Linked DNA regions of Diceros bicornis minor. Each later gene encodes a partner of the first gene's protein in a complex. Links are inferred from orthologs where the notes say so. Each region holds a gene or a part of one and is shown on either strand. Other genes may lie near its edges.

Region 1 (10,342 bases):
AAAAAAGAACACCCTTAGGCCTTTTCTGGTTTTTATTTATTTTAAAAGATAAGGAGCAAAAATGAAAAAATGTAAACATTTATTTATTCTGAGAGGCGAGTTATAAGCTTATTATACTATATATTCCTTTATATAACTTTTGCTACATACTCAGAATATATATACTCTGATGCTTGTTATATTATTCTTTGCATTTTTTGGTATTTTTTTCAATTTATGAAATAGTCAACCAATCCTCTTCCCATCTACCCACCCCCACCCAAAGTTTCAATGAAGCAAGAGAAAGGCATACAAACAGGAAGCCCTGGGGAAACACCCACATGGGCTGAAACCACAAAGCTAGTTGAAGACACTCTGACAAGCCTGCTTTAAACGGTTAACTAGAAATCATGCTTGCAAAAAAATAACTGGAATTAATGAAAGATCACACTTCATATAGCTACTTCACAACACAAGGACTAGTTAAGAAGTCATTCAGATTTGCGTTCTATACTAAGTCTGAACACTATCTGCTATGTGACAGTTGGTAAATTTCTAAACAGCTCTAGGCCTGTTTCCTTACATCAAGATAGGACTTACAATACCTACCTCAAGAATCATAGTAAAGACTAACTTGGCTACCATCTCTAAAGTGCTTACCATAGTGCTTGGTACATGGTTATTAGTTCAATAAATGGTAGTTATTATTTGCGTCAGAACTGGGATTACAACTCCACATGTGGGCATATATTTCAGCAAAACAAATAGAAATATCCAAAGTGATGTGCCAAAACAAATAATTATCCAACTGAAGCAAGCCCTTCGTTGACTAAAATGTATAACTAAAAGCAATGTTAGGGGCCAGCCATGTGGCATAGTGGTTAGGTTCCCGTGCTCTGCTTCAGCGTCCCTGGCTTCGAAGGTTTGGATCCCGGGTGCAGACCTACACACTGCTCATCAAGCCATTTGGTATCCTCATACCAAATGGGGTAAGATCAGCACAGATGTTAGCTCAGGGCCAATGTTCCTCACAAAAAAAATTAATTAATTAATCCTCCATGCCAATCCTCCTCTTTCTTGCTGAGGAAGACTGGCCCTAGGCTAACATCTGTGCTCATCTTCCTCCACTTTATATGGGACACCCCACAGCATGGCCTGACAAGCAGTGCGCCGGCAATCGGAACCCAGGCCGCCAGCAGCAGAGCTCGTGCACTTAACCACTATGCCAGGGGACCAGCCCCTAATTAATTAATTTAAAAAAATAAAAATAAAAGTAATGTAAGAGAAAAGAGAACTATAGAATAAACAGGAGAAATCCTATGTATGAATAATAGCACTAGAGAGGAAATTTTCTAAGTCCAGCAAAATGCAAACTGTCCTCAGGCAGAGAACAGTTTATCAAATTGAGCGGTAATCTCAAGATGGGTATCAATTGGTCAACAGATTCCATTAACATGTAACCTACAAAAAAGGTCCTTACATTCCCACACCGCCAAGTTTTAGAAGAGAAGGTTTTATAAGTTGCTAAGGGGAGACTATTTTAAAAACATACTTGGGGAAAAAAACCATTTTCTAGGCTTTCAGGCAAAAAAAAAAAAAATCTCCCAAGAGTCTTTATTATGAGGAAACAATGTACATTAATGGATCAAAAATTTCTAATTCTCAAATTCAAAAGTGATGTAAAAGGAAATTAAAAATGTGACTAGATTAGTAAATGTAAGAAATAAGAATTTATCACTTCACTAAAAAAAATTTAAAAATAAGACTTTAATGAATTCCCCAGAGGATCCATCCAAACTTGCACATACCAAATTATCCCTATATTATACACACTCTTAAAATATAGAAAAGTGGAGGTTAACAACCCAATTTATGAGTTTCAATGGTTTTGATGTTTCAAATCAGGCAAAAAAAAAATACCATAATAAAATTCATAAAACAAAAAACTTAGGTTTCTAAACATATTGTGTGTAAGAGATTGAAACAAAGTTTCTAAGTATATTGGATATGTAACATATCGAAACAATTATAGATTATGCCTGTGTAGGATTTTTCCTGAAAAACCACAAGTCAGATTATAAAACAATCAGGGAAATTTGAACACCAACTGGATACTAGATGATATTAAAATTGTAATTGTAAAAAAATGTGATCATCGTACTGCTGTTATGTTAATAAAATAGAGTTCTTATCCTCTAGAGATACTTAAGCATTTACAAAGCAAATGATCTCTGGAATTTGGTTTAAAATAACACTTTGGAGTTGGGGACAGGGATGGGAAGGGGCCAATAAATGAAACAAGATTGGCCACGGTTTTTGGAAACCGATGAAGTGAAATGATGGGTACATGAAGGTTCATCATTCTATTTCTCTACTTTAGTATATTTTGAATATATCCATAGTAAAAAATTAAAACATAGGAAGCATATGTATTTAAAACTAAAAGTCAACACTAGTTGGTGAATAATTTTTCATAACAGAACAGAAAAAGAGATAACAAAGCCTTCCACTTCTGTTGCTATTCAGTATAGTGAGCTAGAATGTTCCTTCCTTTTCTTTGTATCCTCCACCCTCCCCTCCTTTCCTCCTTCCTGATTTCATCTGTTGTTGTGACTTAGATGACTCCCTCTACACACATAATCCGAAACTCAGAAACAGACTTTCAGATTGGTGCCTCACAACATATTCAACAAATATTTTTTTAAATAACGGAGCATACTCAAGCACTTTTTAAAAATTTTACAGTTTTGCCCTAAACAAATACATTTAAAAAAAATATTAATCTCACCTACCTCATCCATTTAAATTACCTGTCTTTTGTATGTTTTATTACACATATATTGGGGGTAAGTAAAGTTTTTTGCTAACAAGTGCAGGATCAAAAGTTTGATGACCACCATTTTGGACACTAGGACACCACTTCAAGTTTGTGAAGGATGAAGAAGGGGTTGAGGGGACTGTCAGAGAGCCTGCCCTGGGGGAAACAAGATGAATTTGCTTCGTGTTGTCAGGATATTCAGGTACAGATGCTCCTTAGACCCTGGGAGATGAAGAACCTAGAGTCAGTAGGAAGATGTGGGCAGCGGATGTACATATGGAAGCCGTCTTTGTATATGTGACAGCTGAACCCAAGGGAGTGAGCTCTCTTAGGGAGAGACTTGGAAGACAGGTCAAAAGGCTTAACTCAAACCTTGGGATACACCTATATTTATCTGGCAAAAAAGAACAAGTGGCAACAGAAGCAGCTGCCTGAGAGGTAAGCTGCACTGTTTCCAAGTGGTCCCAAGAGCCCGTCAACGGTTCGGGCCACCGCAGTGACACCACGGGAAAGGAGCGCTGGGTGAGAACCATCCATCATTGGCAACTTTGAAGAGGACTCTCCTGGTCAGGGGCTGCGGACTAGCTTCAGATATCAGAAAAGTGATAACGAGAGGAATGGAGGGCCAAGCAGAGATCCCCGGCTCAGTGCGGTGGAGACGGATCCGGGTGCCGAACGCGGCTGGGGTGCTGGGAGGACCGCAACACGCCTAGGGACGAAGCTAACAGAGAGGGAAAGACTCAAGACTCCAGAGAGTAGAGGCATATTCCTTTGTTCCCAAACCTGCCTCCAAATTCTCTAGGCCCTGACTTGCCCAAAAGTACTTTATTCTCATGGGGGTGGGAGTTAAGCGTAGTCTTCACCCGGGCAATATCGCGTTAGCCATATTCGAGGAAAGGTCTAGAAGCATTGGAGGAAAGGGAACTGCCAAGAGTAGAAGCGCGGGCCTAGCAGGGGCTCTCCAAGGGGAGCAGAGAAGTGAGGAGCTGGAGGAAGAGGCTGTCGGGCGCGAGGTCCCCGCGAGGGCGCGCCCCTCGAGGAGCAGCAGTCGCGGCAGTCCTCCCAGACCGGGACCCCGGGAAGCCGCCCCTCCGTCTCAGCGCACTTACCGATCCGACTGCGAATAGTGGCACCGGTCCAGCAGGTTGAGCTTGCAGAGGTGCAGGTTTTCACAGGGTCTCTGGCAGAACTTGCGACGGCAGACCCGGGCTCGAGTGGTAGCCACCACTGACCGGGTGACCCCGGCCTTGCCGCCGGTCTCCAACACCACGAAGCGATCGGGCCCGGCCGCCTCCAGCACCTCGCAGAGCTGCGCCTCGCGGAGCGCGATCTCGTTGAGTAGCGCGTCCAGGGACATGCGGCCCCCGTGGGCGCACAAGATTTTGGTGATGAAGCAGCACACCTCCGGGTCCGCCATGGCGCTCTACGCTGGGCTGGCTGCGCCGCGGGGCTGCTCCGGGGAGAATCGAAACTTACAAGAGTCCCCGGGGGCGGGGGCGGGGGCGGGCGCGGGCGGTGCTCCGGCTGGGCGCGCCCGGGGCGAGCCAGCGCGCACTCTCCATCGCCGTTAGCTGAGCGCAGCGCTTTCGGTTTCACACTCGGCTCTGGGTCAAGAGGCCAGATCGCACCGACCCGGTCCCTGTGTCAGATTTAAAATCTATCGCGACGGCAACCGAATGGAATGAAAGCGAACAAGCGCGGGCAAATCTGCCCGCACCACCCGGACAGCTCCCTCTCAGTTCCAGGCTGCGCGGGGGTGAGGTGCCCCAGCTCAGCGCCGCGAGGATTCTTTCGAAGGAAGAGAAACTAAAAATGATCTCTGGGCGCTGGCAGAGTTTTTATAAACCAGCTGAAAGTGGCGAATGACGCGAGTCTTGGGAACCCCCTTGAGGAGCCCTCTTTCTCCACCCCACACATCCCCTGAACGAATAGACCTGAGTGCGCACTTGCTCCGTGCTGGGCGGTATTGGTGAATCTTCACAACAACTCCACGAGTTAGATATTATCCTCACTCTGTACTTGAGGAAGTAACGAGTAAACACGCACAGCCATCGAGCTGGAGCCCGGATGCTACCCGAGGTTCCCCAAATCTGGCCCCCAGACCCCAGATCGTGGTCCGTTTGGCCAGGACCAACGTACACTTTCTCCCATGCCCTCCTAAAGAACAGCGATTATTACTCTCCTTCCTTTTTGCCTTCTCACAAGCTTTCTGAAGAACCCCGTCTTGACACATTCTTGCCTGTGTCTATCACTAACAGCGGTGTCCCGGACACCGCTTAGTCCCTGGTGGCAAGTACTCACAGACGAGCAGGCTTAGACACATCCCAAGATTTTAGATAGGTTCTCTTTAGGTATTTGGACAAGACCTTTTCCCCCTGCGGGGACCCACGTAGGCCCCAAGAGTTGGTATAAAGATTATTTTAAAGTGAAAACATTTGAGCTACAGATGATGCAGAAAGAAATTTTATCTGAACTTCTCTTAATCTGCTAAAGCAGAGCCTCCAGAAAATACAGCTACCATTAACCCTTTTCCAAGAGAGTTTCCTGTTCATTCAGCTGCCTTGGAGACAGACTGCCCATTTCTATTAGCATCAAAAAGCCCAATAGAACCTTCCATACTCTCCCATTGAAGTCCTAAACCCCACTACCCCTTTTGTTAAATTGAGATATATAAAGTTACTTGGGGCTATTTCAGGAGTTTTCCATTACTGGAACCTCCCCCCTCCCAATGTGTGAACAAATCTTGTCTTTTCTCCTGTTAATCTGTCTATTGTCAGTTAATTTGCAGGCCTCCAATCACTGGACCCAAATTGGAAGAGGAAAAAGTTGGAAGTTGGAAGAGTGTTTTTCCTCCCAACACTCCCAGGTAAAAGAAGTGCGTCACTGATCAGATAAGAAATAAACCTTTTTTTTTTTTTTTAAAGATTTTATTTATTTCATTTTTTCCCCCCAAAGCCCCAGTAGATAGTTGTATGTCACAGCTGCACATCCTTCTAGTTGCTGTATGTGGGACTCAGCCCCAGGATGGACAGAGAAGTGGTGCCTCGATGCGCAACCGGGATCCGAACCGGGGCCACCAGCATCGCAGCGCGCGCACTTAACCACCAAGCCACAGGGCTGGCCCAGAGATAAACCTTTTTTAAAAATGATAGAATTTGGTTGTCAAACTAGAAATTCTTCAAAATGACTAATGGGAATTCTCCTGTTTGGTAATTCGAGGTAGATGAACTGTTGGCTCGGGAATAGAGTACTTTAGTAATGAACACCAGCCAAACGTGGGGCCTGCACAGGATCATCTGACTTCTTGTTCCCTCTAGCAATTTCTTCTACAGTTGCCTTTTTTTTTTTTTTTTGGTGAGGAAGATCAGCCCTGAGCTAACATCCATGCCAATCCTCCTCTTTTTGCTGAGGAAGACGAGCTCTGAGGTAACATCTATTGCCAATCCTCCTCCTTTTTCTCCCCCCAAAGCCCCAGTAGATAGTTGTATGTCATAGTTGCACATCCTTCTAGTTGCCGTATGTGGGACTTGGCCTCAGAATGGCCGGAGAAGCGGTGTGTAGGTGTGCGCAGGGATCTGAACCCAGCGCCGCCAGCAGCGGCGCTGGGGCACTTAATGGCTAAGCCAGGGGGCTGGCCCCTATAGTTACCTTTCAATTCACTTGGCCTTATTTGTGGTCTGACAGGTTCCCAGGGACTGAGCTTTTGTTGTCTAATCGATTAAATTCAGCATAGTATCTTCTGCGTGGCCTTTATGGTAGTTACGCTGAACATGTCGAAATTTAAGAAATAGTCCCTGTACTCAAGGAGCTTGTGTTTGGGAAGACATGAAAAAACATTAAAACATAAGGAAATCAGGGGTTAAATGCTGCAATGGGTATATAGGAGATTGGAAAAGGAGTACGGTTTGGTTAGAGTGGTTAGGAATAGAGATATAAAATCCCCTCAATTCGAGGCCATGAAAAACGATGCAAGGGGTTGTGGGAAGGGAAAAAGCAGACATTTTGGGAAATTTTAAAATTTGTATCGTCACAGGTTGGGTTCTCCAGGAAGCAGATACTGATATGGAGTTAAGGATACAGAAGATTTCCGGGGATGTAACACCAGAGAAAGTCAAGGAAAGAAGCAGGATTGATCTGTGGGAGCTGTCAGGCGGCGATGTAGACCTGACAGTCTCTGCCAGCCCGACAGGGAGCAAGTCTAGCCTTGGGCAGAAAGGCCTAGGCCCTTGTACCCTGCCTTGCTTCGTCATTGGCGGGGGCCATGAAGAAATGTGTGACTTCAGCTGAAACACTGGGACGGATCCTGAAGGAGCTAAAGCTGGAGACTATCAGCTAAACATACTCCTTGCAGCTGGGCAGCAAGCCCTGGCTTGAAGGAGGATCTGAGTAACCCATTATGTCTGCTATCGTGCACCCTTTGTGCCACATGGATCTATTTCCCCATCAGTATTCAGGGAACAGCTCCTTCAGGGCTCTGATGGGCCCTGCTCTTCCTGAAAGAAAACTTAGAGAAGTTAATAGGATGAACTATAGCCCCTGTCACTGCAATTGGTTGCAAGATCACAGCTGGTCCTCATCATATCTGTCCACCACTATCCATTCTAATTCCCCTCACCCTCGGCTACCACCTCACCTGGTCTCAGTAGCTTACCTGAGTGGGCACCCTAAATCCTCATTCCTAAGGGGTCTGAGCATCATCTCAGACCAGGCTTTCTGCTCTTATGTCTATTCACAGTCACAGTTGGGCAAAAGAGTACCAACTGGCACCCAAATAGGTCACCAGAGTCCGTACATATTCCTCCCCAGTCCCTGTCTAACAGCGGCCCTATCTCCTCCTGCTGACCAAGTCAGTTACCTCTGATAATACGGCGTTCCCTTGCCTTACCTGCTAGTCTCTGACCATTAGGAAGCCAAAGTGCCTGGTGGCAGCCATAAGTTGTAGTCCAGTGGGATCTTTGCTGTGTCCCCAGGCAAAAATGTGCTCCTTTTGGAGACCAAGACCTCTAACTCTGCAAAGCCCAGAGTTGTGGGGACAGGGAAGCCCAGTGGGTCATTGGAATGATGCTAAGGGGGCCACTCATGCTTCCGCCCATTGTTTCAAGACTCACGTACTCTTTCTGTTGGGGACACAGCACCATAATCAGACACTAAGTTGTCTGATTGAAGTCATATCCCTTGATGTCCTGGAGGAGATGTCATCACTGCAGTGTATTGCCTTCATGCTGGATCTTGAGCTGCATCTTTAACTGGCCATTCCAATATTTGTCTATCCAGTAGCTTCTGGGTCGTGAGGTGTGTGATATGACCAGCGGATCCCATGTTCATGGGCCCACTCCCCCATTTCCTGTGCCACGAAGAGAGTCCTCTGTTAGGATGCTATGTTATGTGGGATTCCATGTCTGTGGATCAGGCGATCTTTAAGTCCCTAGAGATTGGTGCTATGGAGGTCCTGCAGGCAGGAAAGGCAACCCCATACCTGGAATCTGTCTATTCCAGTGAGAGCAAACTGCTGGCCCTTCCAGGACAAAAGGAGCCCAGTGTAGTCACCTGGTCACCAAGTAGCCTATTGGTCTCCTTAAGGAATAGAGCTTAGCATCGGTCATTATGGCTGGTAGATTGGACATTCAGAGGTGGTAGTACCTATATTCGTTTTGGTAAATGATAGTCCATGCATTGCCTCCATCTCTGTCACCATAGCCTCTTTGTTCAGTTACCCATCATGCAGCAATGAGGGGAAAGGGGTCTGTGACAAAGGCTGGCTACATTAACAAGTGAGAGCTATCACAGTAGGGAAGGATCACAAGGATGCAATGGAGGGTTAGCCTGATTTCCAAGTATGTCAATGCCAACTATACATTTTGGGGTTAGAGGAATGACAACCAGTGGGTTCATGGACCCAGGGGACCCATTGTAAGCTCAACCTCAATCAGGCCTCCATTTGCTCCCACTCTAACATGGGAGCCACGAAGATGCTTCAGGTGGCAGAGTATTGGTGACCTCTGACCTTGTGCCCAACAGTCATCAAAATGTCTGGGTACTCTCTTCTGTCATCCACGTAAATGTTGTAGATCTCCCTGGGGAAGGATTGGAGGAACAATTCTAGCTCATTCTTGCCATCATGTTGCAGGTCCTTCTCCCTGAGGACCTGGCCACCTCTTCAGTCACTGGGTTCTGAGTCCGAACACTGGTTCAGGTACAGAAAGCGGGCCAGGAATTGTGACTTTTTATTGGGGTGACCATCCTCCTCATTGTCCTGTTTATTAATTCTTGTTCTTTTTAGATTACACATGTTAAACAGTATTTTGTGTGCTACCCATCTATTTTCCTCCTAGGGAAACTCTGTTCTATTCACAATCCCTACAGCTCTTTACAGGTCAGGCCCCCTGGCTGCCACTCTGACTTAGTCATTACAAGCCCTGGCTTCTGCAGGAAAGGGCCATCACATGGTGTCTATTGCATCAGGGCCTATCATCCCCATTGCTATTACTGAGCCAGGTTCCAGGACAGCCCCTCCTTCCATCAGTTATGTCCTGCAGGGGAAGCACCACTGAACTTCTTAGTGACGTTGGTGTCCCTCTCACCAGTGTGTTCCTGACAGCCTTGATGAATGTGATTCCTCCGAGCCATCCTGTGAAGCCTAATTCTCTGGTGGATCTTCTGGCCTAACATCATATATCTATTCCAGCACATCCACTTTTCTGAGTCTTTTAATCCTTTCTTCTACTGTTGGCCCCAGAAATTTAGTCATTTCAACCTCACGTGTCATGGGCCATCACTTTCCTAGGCTTCCAGGAACCACCTGGCAGCAATTTTGCATAATCCCCTAGTCCTTCCAGGATGCTAAATCTTGTATCCTGAGACAGTGCTCTTACATCAATAAATTCTCCTGTATACAGTCTTATATCCCAGCTTGCTTGAGAGAGCAGTTTTCTCAGAATGGTAAGATTGGAAATCAAAAGAGATCACTCATTTTAGAGGATTGACAAGGAAAGGATTAGAGAGGAGAGGAGAGAAGAGGGAAGGAGAGGAGAGGAATTATTCAGGTAACTAGAGAGAGATTTTTTGTTTGTTTGATTGCTTGTGTATTACTGTTGTTTTACTAGAAGATCTGGGCATATATGAGAATTTCAAAAAAATAAATCTGGGGAGAGTGCAAAGCTACAGTTGCGAGGGCACATTAGCCTGATATCAGGCCATGTGAGTCCATTGAACCACCAATCAGAGAGGAAAGCAAAACATACACAAGGCAGTGATGAGTCAGCTATGTTAAGTCATAGAAGTTAAAAGTACATAAACATCAAAGGGTTGAGTCAGATGGAATGTCCAAAGTTCACAGCAAACAGGTGTTCTCCAGGAAATACGGGAGTCAAGGGAGTCATTAGTCAAATGGTGAGACAGACCAGGGCTGACAGAGGTGGGGAGCAGGCAGAGGGGTTTCCCCTAGATTGAACCTGCCTAGCAGCAAGCCTCCCGGAAGAACTGAACTGGGGAGGGTTGGAGCTGTGGGTGTAGTGGAGTGGTGAACTTGAAAGTGAGAAAGGCATT
Region 2 (10,455 bases), on another chromosome or scaffold:
TTTATCATTTCTTTGGGCTCTTTGACGTCAAGAATCAGGTCTGGCCTGATTCCCAGCATTCCTGCCTCCTTCTGCAGGCCAGACACCTAGTACTAAGTGGGCAATCAGTATCTGAAACACAGAGTATTAGAGAGGGGACTGGTAATCAAGATTAGACTGGTTCTGAGTTTCTGTCTGGAAAACAAATTAAGAGGATGACATATAAATGTATATGGTATACATATGATATACAAAAGGATCTTTCAGGTGAAGCAGGTTTTACTATTATCATGTTACATCATACGTTGTTCAGCAGTATTCAGTCAGTAGGCCTATGCTGGCCACCACTGTGCCTATTCACTGTTAACTAGGCAAAATTCCAGATTCATATTGTGCTGTCTGCCTACCAGGACCTACACAACTGTACAGACACACGCCTTTAAAATTCATTACAACTGACTCAATCTTCAGTTTCAATTCTGTGTCAATGCTGGTATGGAAAGAAGGTTCCAAATCTTGGATAATCTGTGAAATCCAGACATAAAACAGAACAGCCTCAGGAGAAAGTGAACTGCCTTTTGGTAGAATACCCTACGTGGTAGTGAGTAAAAGTTAAGTATTTGAAAAGACAAAATGTATCATCACTACAATTTGGAAACTAGTTTTTATTTAAAATGGAAAATCCCAGAGAATAAAGAACTTGTAGTTGTAAATTTTTTAATTGATGAATTAGCTTTTAAAACCTGCCCATTTCCCACCTGGTGTATGTGCACTGGGAGGGACTGTGCCCTGGGTTTTCATTTCAACCCCCTGGCAGCTGTAAGTTCTCCTTTTCTTTTGCCCCTGAGGCGCCTTTGCCAGTTAACCATGCTCCCCCTCTGCCTCCAGCTCTGTACCACAGGAGTAAGAGCCTCTGCCACACTGGGGCCAAGACAGGTTGGGGAATATCACTGAACGCTTGCCTGGCACCTTGAGTGCAGCGAGCACATACCTTATCTTCTTTTATATTCTCGAGGAGGGTGAATGAATGGAAGAGGACCCTGAGACAAAGAGGTTAACCCTCTACGTTTGGTCCACAGTCCGAGTCAAGGAGGAGTGCCACTTGGGCTCAAATTCAGATCTTCAAATTCTAAGTCCAGCGATCTTTCTATTGCACCATGTTGTGTACAGACTTATTATGCATGGATTATGACTCTTCACTTGTCTTGCTATTTGGAACATTTACTCTGGTTTTTCCAGAAGGTTGGGGAATTTCTCTACATGTTTCGAGTTTAGGTTGTAAGAAGGCATCTGTCAGCTACTCATGTCATTAGCTTTCCCATCTTTCCATTAAGCCAGTATTTTCTAGACACTATGGCACTAGATAAACACAAGGCATCATTTAGTTTGATGAGTGAAAACCGAATGATGAATGGGCAAACAACCATCCGTCTCATCTCGCCTGCAAGGCAGGTTTACCTACCCAGTCTTACAAGCACTTGGAGGAATAATTGGCTCTTTTCCCACTACCCAGGCCTAGAGACAGCACAAAGGGTCAGGAGCATCTGTCTCTCCCTCAGTCTTCTACTGGGCTCCTTGAACATCAAGCCTGAGGCCAATAGAGAAGCAAGTACCTGTCATCATAGGAGGAGATCCTCTTGCCATCCATGACTCGAGAGGGAGTGAGGGAGAGCAGGCTGAGGGAGTACAGCTTCTGCAGGTAGTGACCCTCTAGAGAAACAGTGGAGCATAACAGAGTTACCCTCAAGGTGGAAGCAGGGCCTATCCCAGGACACAAAAGACCAGGCCCAACTCACCTCTGACCTTGGAATCCTTACTGAAGCGCCACTGAGGCACAAAGACGGTTATGTCACGGTGGCCACGGTCCCAGAAGTACTGAACAGCAATGGCAATGCCCCGGCTCGAGAAGTGGTGCTGGAGGCCGTGCCTGCGGTCAGAAGGGGTCAGCACTTTGGGGCCCCAGAGGAGGGGCCTGGCAGCCTGACTGGACTGCCTGCCCCTCAGCACATGTCCCCAGAACTGCCCATGTCCTCCCCCTCCCCAGGACCCTCAGCCCCACTGGGTACTCACACCATGGCCACGTTGCTGCCGTCAATGACAATATGACGGAGGTCTGGCTGGCCAGGCACATTGGCAAGGCACAGGGTGAAAGGGTCCTGTAGGGCCTCCTGGAAACGCTGCGTGCCAGTCACCAGGTTGCCCCCCCGGGTGCCTCGTTTCCACGGAGACCCCCGACCTCGAGCCACGACCTGCTGCTTGTCTCCCCTGTCTCCTCGGTCTCCACAGTGCCACGGGGGTTCGGGCGCAGGTGGGGGGCTCGGCACTCTTGGAGGTGAGGCTTTCCCATTGTGGAGCCGCTGGAGGAGGGAGGCTCCCCGGGGTGGAGGTACCCTCTGACAGGGACCCTGGGCACCAAGAGGCTCACTGGGGACACAGAAACTTCCTCTTTCCTGAGGCACCTCCTCCTTCCCCAGGGCCTTCCCTTTCAAGGGCCCCACCTGCCCTGCCTCTCCTCCCTCTGACTGCAACCTGAAGGCCGCTTCTCTCTCCCAGGCCTCTTCCCCAGGCAGCTCCTTCCACCCCAAATCCATCTCCCTGAGACCACCCTGCCTCCCTCCCTCCTTCTCCATAGCCTGTCTCTCTCCCCTTGACTCTCCTCGCCCCATAGGTCCAGTGTCCAGGGACTCGCTGCCTTCACTCAGGGGAGCTCTGACTCCCTGGTACTGAGCACCCAGTGGGCCTGGGCTCCCACACTTCCAGGAGGGGAGTGCTTGGGGCCCCTGCCCCCTGGATGCCTCCTGCACCAGGCTCAGCAGTTCCTCCTGGACGGCCAGGGGCAGCTGCAGCAGGGCCTCTCTGTGGGCATCCCCCCGGGCCTCCAGCAAGGCAGAGAAGTCTCTCAGCACTCCAGCTCCAGGGGCTGGCCCTGGCCGAAAGTCCCAGCTCAGCCGTTCCACCAGCTCTTCCACTCGGCTCTGAGCCATGACGAAGGCCTCAGTCAGGCCACTGACCATCAGCGAGCCAGGTGACCCAGGCACCAGATGTGCTGACGTGCTCCAGGCCAGGCAATCCAGGAAGAAGCCCTGGGCTCCCAGGAAGATGCAGTGCAGTTTGGATGGGTAGTGGATTTCATCCTGCAGCTCCGGGCTGCAGAGACCCTTCAGGTATTCCTGGGAGGGAAAAAATGGGAGGGAGGAAAAAGGAGACTGCTGGGATCGTAAGTGGCCCAGTAGCCCCTTCAGGCCCATTGCTCTCCCCTGAGCTCCAAGATGCCTTTGCAGAGCAACGGAGCCCCACAGATCCTGACAAAAACGGGGATTAAAAAGGGATGCAGAATCTCACTTCTTTCCCTTTTCAGCTGATAGCCTGTGGCTAATATTTCCATTTAGAACTTGACTCAATTTGAGATATTATAATTAATTGGTTACAAGGCTGTCTCTCTAAATATTTATATGTGTATATTGTGTTGTATATTTCCATCATAATGATTGTCATTGCTAACTTTTACTGAACTCATGCGTCACATGCTTTATCTCATTCACAATAAGCCCAATGAGGTGGATACTATTATTTACATTTTATACATAAGAAAACTGAGACTTGGGCCTCAAGGCTGGTAGGTGGTGGAGCCCTACTAGAAGCCCCAGCTGACTCCCAAGGAAGCAATGTGGCCCAGCCTCCCACCTCACAGAGAATTCCTTGGTGGGGCCTGCTTGCCCAACCGGATTATCTCTACTCTCCCAAAAAGCACCAGTGATTTGAATTGAATCACTTGTCTCCAAGCCCTGGCAGAACTTGGGTCGTCACAGCACAAATGAAACCAAAACTCCAGATAAACATAGTTAGGAAGTCCCTCAAAGCTCAAGGCCGCTGAGGTTGCCAGTGAGACCAGCAAGGAGGAAGATCCGCCCCAGCCCCTCCTCTCCCCTGCCTCCACGGGGGAGGAAGTCATTGTTCCCCGGAAGGGTCAGGGAGGGGCGTTCACCTTAGCTCTGCTGGCGTTCTCCTTGGGGCCCTCCAGCTGCAGCCAGATGTGAGGGTTCTCAGGACAGTCCTTCGGAAGGACGCTCATCCCCACGCTGAAGATGCGCTCCACATGGGGTTGCTGCTCCCGCACCTTGTCCTCGGCCTCCGCACACACCGCAAAGCGGTCAGGGGACGTCGAGCCAGCCCCCCAGGTAGGCATGGCTGCCTGGCCGCCCGGCCCTGAAAGAAGGGAAGGCAGCTCAGAGCTCTGCCGTCCCCTCAACCCAAATCTTGGTCTCGCGGCCTACACCAGCTATCAACAGGTCGCACCTAGTTACTGATCCGGTAAACAACTCAAGAGGTAACAAGCATATCAGTCCATCTTGGAGGTAGGAGGGGAGTGTCAGGTTATCCAGCCACACCGGCCTTCTCTCCGGAGAGGAAGTCATGGATAAATAAGGCTGTCTATCTGGGATGGGTGCCTGGTCTTTAAAAATTATGACCACAGCCCTGAGCTGGAAGGGTGGGGGGCTCCAGCTTGGTCTGGAGGCCAGAAGGAGTGGACAGGTGACGAAAGAGTCCCTCTCCTCGGGGGACTCTGCAACCTCCGGGCCCAAGACGACCTCTTAAAGATGAATCCGCACAAGGGCTTGAACTGGGCTATCCTCCGGGGTCCCCAGTCTGCCATTTCCAAGGTTCTAGCCACTCCCACCCCTCCCCCTCCCTCCGCCGTCCTCTGGCCCCCTAGATAGCGCCAAGCGCCCCACTGGGGACCCAGGGGCCGGGCGGGCCCCGCCCACAGCTGCCTGCGGCCGCCGCCCCCGGACCGCTCTGCGCCGCGGCCTCCGGTCCCCGCGGCCCGGGCGCAGGGGACGGGGCGCCTACCCGCCTCGGCCGCCCGTGCCGCCTCAGTCCCTCCGGCGCCTCTCGGTGCCCGCCTGCCCCAGCTTCGCCCGCGCCCCCGGCCCAGGGGAGAAGGGAGGGGGCCCGAATCTCGGGCGGGCCTTCCCGGATTCCTCACCCAACGGGGACCTCTCTTCTCTGCATCTCGAATAGTTTTTTGAGTCACTTCCTGGCCCGGGGCGGAGTCAGCCGGGCCCCTCCCGCAGCTGGGCCTGCATGGGGCCTCGGCGCCCGCCCGGCCTCGACCCCGCCCCCGGATATGGCCCCGCCCCCGGCCCCGCCCCGCCCGCTCGCCCGGAGTTCTCCTGGGCTCTCTCCGTTGCCTGCCCCACCTGCTCTCTCCGCTTCGGTGAGTTCTCGCTCGCTCGTTCTGCGCAGTGGTTTCTCAGGAAAGAGGAACCGCTCGCTGAGAGTTGGAGGTGAAGAGGATCTTAAAGGAACTAACCCAGTCCTTTCGGATGAAGATATGGAAAACCATGGAGAGAAAGAGACTGGCCCAGGGTCACAAGATAGTGACACTGTTGGCGCAAACACTTTCCACCAAAACAATTGTGGGGAAAAGACAAGGGCTCCCCCTTGCTTCCGTCAGTGGAAAACACGCCGCTGAGAGGGCAGTTGACTTGTGAGGGATTTCAAAGAGAGGAGATGAGGAGGAGGAAGGGGCCGTGGGAGCTGTTTCTCGCGCATATGGACACGCTCACACACTCACATACACGCAGTCACGCATTCTCACACTCTCACACGCACACCCATGTTCTCTGTCGTCCCAGTTCCCGCCTTCAGTGCTCTCTGGAGGGGCTGCCCTGGGTTCTGGCTGTAGCCCTCCTCTCTGGCTGCTTCATCCCTTCTCTCCCTCCCAGAGCCCAACTGCTGTCATTTTGTGCCCTGCCAAGGAGGAGGGAACTACAGTGACAGCAGGAGTGAGAGGCAGGACAGAGTTGTGGGGCACAGAGAGGTATGGAGAGGGAGATGCCACAGGACCAGGTGACACTGAGTCCCAGAGAGGGCTGAGGAGCGGGGTGAGGGATGGTGAGAGTCTGGGGAAGAGGAGGGCAAACCGAAAGGAGCAGAAAGAGGAGGACTTGCAGGTCACAGAGCCACTCAGCCATGCTGGGAGCAAAGCAGCACTGGCCGCCAGGTCCCTCCTTCAGCCCCGGGCTGCCCTTGGCCCTAGTGCTTCTGGCCTTGGGAGCTGGGTGGGCCCAGGAGGGGGCAGAGCCTGTCCTCTTGGAGGGCGAGTGCCTGGTGGTCTGTGAACCCAGCAGAGCTGCCGCAGGGGGGGCTGGGGGAGCAGCCCTGGGAGAGGCGCCCCCCGGAAGAGTGGCATTTGCTGCAGTCCGAAGCCACCACCATGAGCCAGCAGGCGAGATCAGCAATGGCACCAGTGGGGCCATCTACTTCGACCAGGTAATCCCCTACCTGCAAGGACCTGGACCCAACTGTTCAAGCCCACTTTGCTGTTATGGAAACAGCCCCCCACTGTGGCCAGTTGCCTCTCAACCCCACTGCTTGCCTCCTTTCCCTACATCCTGCCCACACCCCTCCTTGCTCTTTCTCACCGTTTCTTTTGAATCCGTGCATTCCTCCTTTTGAATCCGTGCATCCCTCCTGTTCGAGTCTACTTGCCACCCCTTCTTTTCTTACTCGCTGCCCCTTCCCCCAACCCAGTGGTTTCCCTGAGCCCCAGGCATCCTCGAGCCCCCACGAGCCCCACTCAGCAGGGTCTGCTTCCTGCAGGTCCTAGTAAACGAGGGCGGTGGCTTTGACCGGGCCTCAGGCTCCTTCGTGGCCCCTGTCCGAGGCGTCTACAGCTTCCGGTTCCATGTGGTGAAGGTGTACAACCGCCAAACCGTCCAGGTGACCTGCGTGCTGGGCCCCATCCCTGGCTCCCTGGCTTGGGAAGGGAAGAGAGGGGAGGGAGGGGGAATAAGTGGAGCCCAGCTGACCCCTGGGCATACCCTCTATTGACCTGTGTCCTGGGGGGCCAGGAGCAAGGGACTCCTGTGTGGGAGGAAAGGGCCTGCCTAGCAGAGGGTGTGGAGGAGGGGCAGAGTCCAACACTGGCCACCCCTCAGCCCTTCCAGAGGAGTGCACTGAACCCCAGGTTCCCAGGTTCCAGAGTGTCCCTCTGGGGCTGGAGAGAAGAGAGGGAGCCCTGGGGAAAGTGGCAGTCCTAGGAGAAGGGCTGGGGAGAGGTGCTAACTAGGCTCCCCTCCCCAGGTGAGCCTGATGCTGAACACATGGCCTGTCATCTCAGCCTTTGCCAACGACCCTGACGTGACCCGAGAGGCAGCCACCAGCTCTGTGCTACTGCCCCTGGACCCCGGGGACCGGGTGTCCCTGCGCCTGCGTCGGGGGAACCTGCTGGGTGGCTGGAAATATTCAAGTTTTTCTGGCTTCCTCATTTTCCCACTCTGAGGGCTCAAGCCTTTCAAGGATGGGAATCTAGCCCCTGCCCTCTGCCCTCTGCCCTCTTCTACCCAGAAGCAGCATCTTTGGGGCAGGAGAGAGGCTGCCTCTGGCTGTCTGTGTTCCACTTCCTTGCATGGGACCCTGTGCCGAACACCCAAGGTGAAGAGCAGAGCTGTGGTGTCTCAGGACCTGGCCCCTCTTCCCCTCCCCATTGCCCTCCCAGCCTCCCACTGCATCTCTGTGCCTGCAGCCCTAGTCAGGACAGCACTTGACAGGTAGGGAGGCCTGTGCTACTTTGCAGACTCTGCTCCTGTCCCGCCCCCCTGCCCCCAGCTTCCTGCTCAGTGCTATTTAGGGACAGGTGGCACAGGTGAGCCTGACAGGCCCCCACAGGGGCCCAGATGGACCAGCCTGAGAGTACCCTGCAGGCTCCTTCCTGTGAGGAGTGCCAGCATCACAGATCTCAGTCAGCACAGTCAGAAGCTGAGCCAGCGCCTCATGGTCTAGGGCGGGAGGCTCAGCCACCAGCAGAAGTGTGGGGAGGGCCATGGAGCAGCCCGGTGCCTGTGGCTGGTAGGGCAGCAAGGCGGCATGCGCCCAGCCTGCACATGGTACTCATATTTTATGTACATTAGGGCAGCCAGCAAGCAGCAAACCCAGGCGTCCATCTGTGCCAGGTCCCAGATGGACTGTGGCCCTCACCTCCCCACCTGAGACATGGAGTGTGTATGTTTGCTCTGCCACAGAGCTGGTGGCTGCCTCCTGGGTCACGTCAGGTGTGCAGAGCTTCCTTGGGCAGCTGGAGGTGGGGGTAGAAGGTCATATGTGGGCAAGTGTAGATATCCAGGCTTGAAACATATCAATGACCATGGCCACCTCCTAGAACTGCTCCACCTCTGTAGTCTCAACTTCCATCACTCCACGCTCTGACTGCCACCTCCTTCCTCCCAGCTCTCTCGGTTACCTTTATTGTACCTTTTCCAGACTATCCCATAACCTCTCTTCTTTCTCCTGATTTGTGCTGTCTTATCCTCCTTCTTAAAAGTCTCATTACCTTGGATTCCACGATTCATCCCTTCACCTACTCTCCTTCCAGTATTATAAATTCTCTGTCTTATCTCGCTGTCCCATTGGCCCAGCATGGATGAATCCATCAATAAAGTAATTAGAGAAGGATGGTCGATGAGACACTCTAGGATCTTTAAAGAGAGAAGATGCTGTTACAATTTGGATCAGGAGTTATAGAATATAAGCAGGTATGTTGTAGAGAAAATAAATCTAAAACTGTATATTAGAGTCAAATAAAAAAAGGATTTGGTAATGCTTGAGTTAAATAGGAAATACCAATGTGAATTTGTGGTTTTCAAAAGAAACAACTTTTTCAAACTTAGAAACAACATCAGGAAAAATCTGATATGCATTCTTAGCACCTGGATCTTTGCCTCAAATATTATTCACCTTTAAAGGGACTCAGAGTTCCTTGGAGAATAGCTCTGTGTCTTAAATAACTCTAGGCCTGGAACATATTGATGACCAAAAAGAAGGATACTTTTGTCAATGTATAGAGTAGAACTGAAAAGGCAAAAAAAAAAAACAATTTTAAAAGGCTCTCTGTTGACATTCTGTGACAATTTGATAATCAAAAGGAAAATAATACTGCTAATTGGAACAAGGTGAATTTTTAAAATCCATGACTCTGTAGTAATATTCAAGAAGCAAAAAGTTACTATAAAATGTGCAAAAGGTAACCAATACACTGTGTGAAGAAGAATGAATATAATAGGATATTTTTAGTTAATTGTGATAAGTAGAAGAGTATATAGTATTTTATCTATTCATAAGGTACATTTATTTTTATCTATGTAAGTAGGGAGGGGTGGATACAGTAAGCTGTGAGTAATTCCAGAGAAAGTTGGAACTGTACCAGGAGTGAAAGAGACTGATTGGCACCATCTGGTCATGTATTACAACTAGGAAGAAAAAAAGTCCAACAGTGTGTTTGTTACAAGATGAGGAATTGGTCAAACATCCAAAAGATAACTGCTCACTGTTCAAACTTGATCCTTCATCTCTTGGGAAAGGGAGCCTCTATATTACCCTACTAATTATAATGAGATTACAGTAACAGTGAAACCCAAAATAATAATGGCTTAAACAAGACAGAAGATTATTTCTGCCTCACATAGAAAAATCTGCAAATAGAGTCCAGGGATGGATGGCAGTTTTATGATCAACACAGCCCATCATTTAGCATGTCACCTCCTGGCGCAAGATGGCTCCTTGAGCTCCGGCCATAACATCAGCCTTATAGCCCCCAGGAAGGAGGAAGGAAGAAAAGGCACACTCCTTTAAAGACGCTTTCTGAAAGGTGCACCTGACGTTTCTGATTGCATTTAGTTGGCTAGAATTTAGTCATGCCTGGCAGGAGACAGGCTAGGAAATAGAGTCTTTATTCCAGGCAGCCATGCCCAGCCAAAAGTCAGCAGTTTTGTAATAAGGAAGAAGAGGAGATTGGATATTGGGGAAAACAACTAGAAGCTTTTTAAAATGCAAATAAGCTAGATAAATTTGTAAATAATATCAGTAAAGTTATTGTATTGGTTTTCTATTGCCGTGTAACAAATTACACAAACTTAGTGGCTTAACACAACAGTTGTTTATTCTCTCAGTTTCTGTAAGTCAGAAGTCCAGCAGAGTGTGACTGGATTCTCTGCTTGGGGTTTCACAAGGTCAAAGGCAAGATGTAGGCAGGGCTGCCTTCCTTACTGAAGTGGAAGGATCCACTTCCAAGCTCACTCAGAATTCGGTTCCTTATGGTTGTAGGACTAAGGTCTTCGTTCTCCTCTTTCTCTAAGCCAGGTCCTTCTGACACTTTGAATCTTTCAGACCTACCCTTCTGCCACATGTCTCTGACCTCACTGGAGGGTTCTCTGATTTTAAGGGCTCATGTGATTAGATTGGGCCACCCAGATAATCAAGGATGGTCTCCCTATTTTAATAACCTTAATTACATTTGAAAAAGGCCCTTTTGCCATGAAACATACTCAGAGCTTCCGGGGATTTGGTCATGGACATCTTTGGGACATCATAGTCCCACCCTTAAAGATGACATCATTTAAAAAAAAGGCATCCTGGGCCGGCCCGTGGCTTAGCGGTTAAGTGCACGTGCTCCACTGATGGCGGCCCGGGTTAGGA

The links.
Region 2: the proteins of ZC3HAV1 (region 1) and KHNYN are in contact, whole or in part, in a crystal structure (PDB 9BGL), measured with the Homo sapiens proteins. The link is inferred for Diceros bicornis minor from reciprocal best matches to the Homo sapiens genes ZC3HAV1 and KHNYN. Residues at the interface, in NP_064504.2 of Homo sapiens: Glu5, Val6, Cys8, Phe9, Lys12, Ile13, Ala16, His17, Glu29, Ile30, Ala31, Leu32, Leu113, Glu115, Phe118, Ser127, Gly128, Leu129, Asn130, Glu133; in NP_001277186.1 of Homo sapiens: His651, Lys652, Asp654, Phe655, Gln658, Arg659, Pro661, Tyr662, Asn677, Phe678.

Annotation. Positions count from the first base shown.
Region 1 is NC_080742.1:86,915,730-86,926,071, forward strand, and holds the start of ZC3HAV1 (zinc finger CCCH-type antiviral protein 1), read right to left. Parts: upstream 4,277-10,342; 5' UTR 4,215-4,276; coding exon 3,907-4,214; intron 1-3,906.
Region 2 is NC_080744.1:23,580,196-23,590,650, forward strand, and holds the start of KHNYN (protein KHNYN), read right to left. Parts: upstream 5,056-10,455; 5' UTR 4,967-5,055; intron 4,960-4,966; exon of another isoform or gene 4,831-4,959; intron 4,186-4,830; 5' UTR 4,166-4,185; coding exon 3,965-4,165; intron 3,150-3,964; coding exon 2,050-3,149; intron 1,907-2,049; coding exon 1,776-1,906; intron 1,690-1,775; coding exon 1,593-1,689; intron 1-1,592. Other genes in the region: CBLN3 (cerebellin-3), read left to right, coding at 5,875-6,255, 6,586-6,705, 7,069-7,266.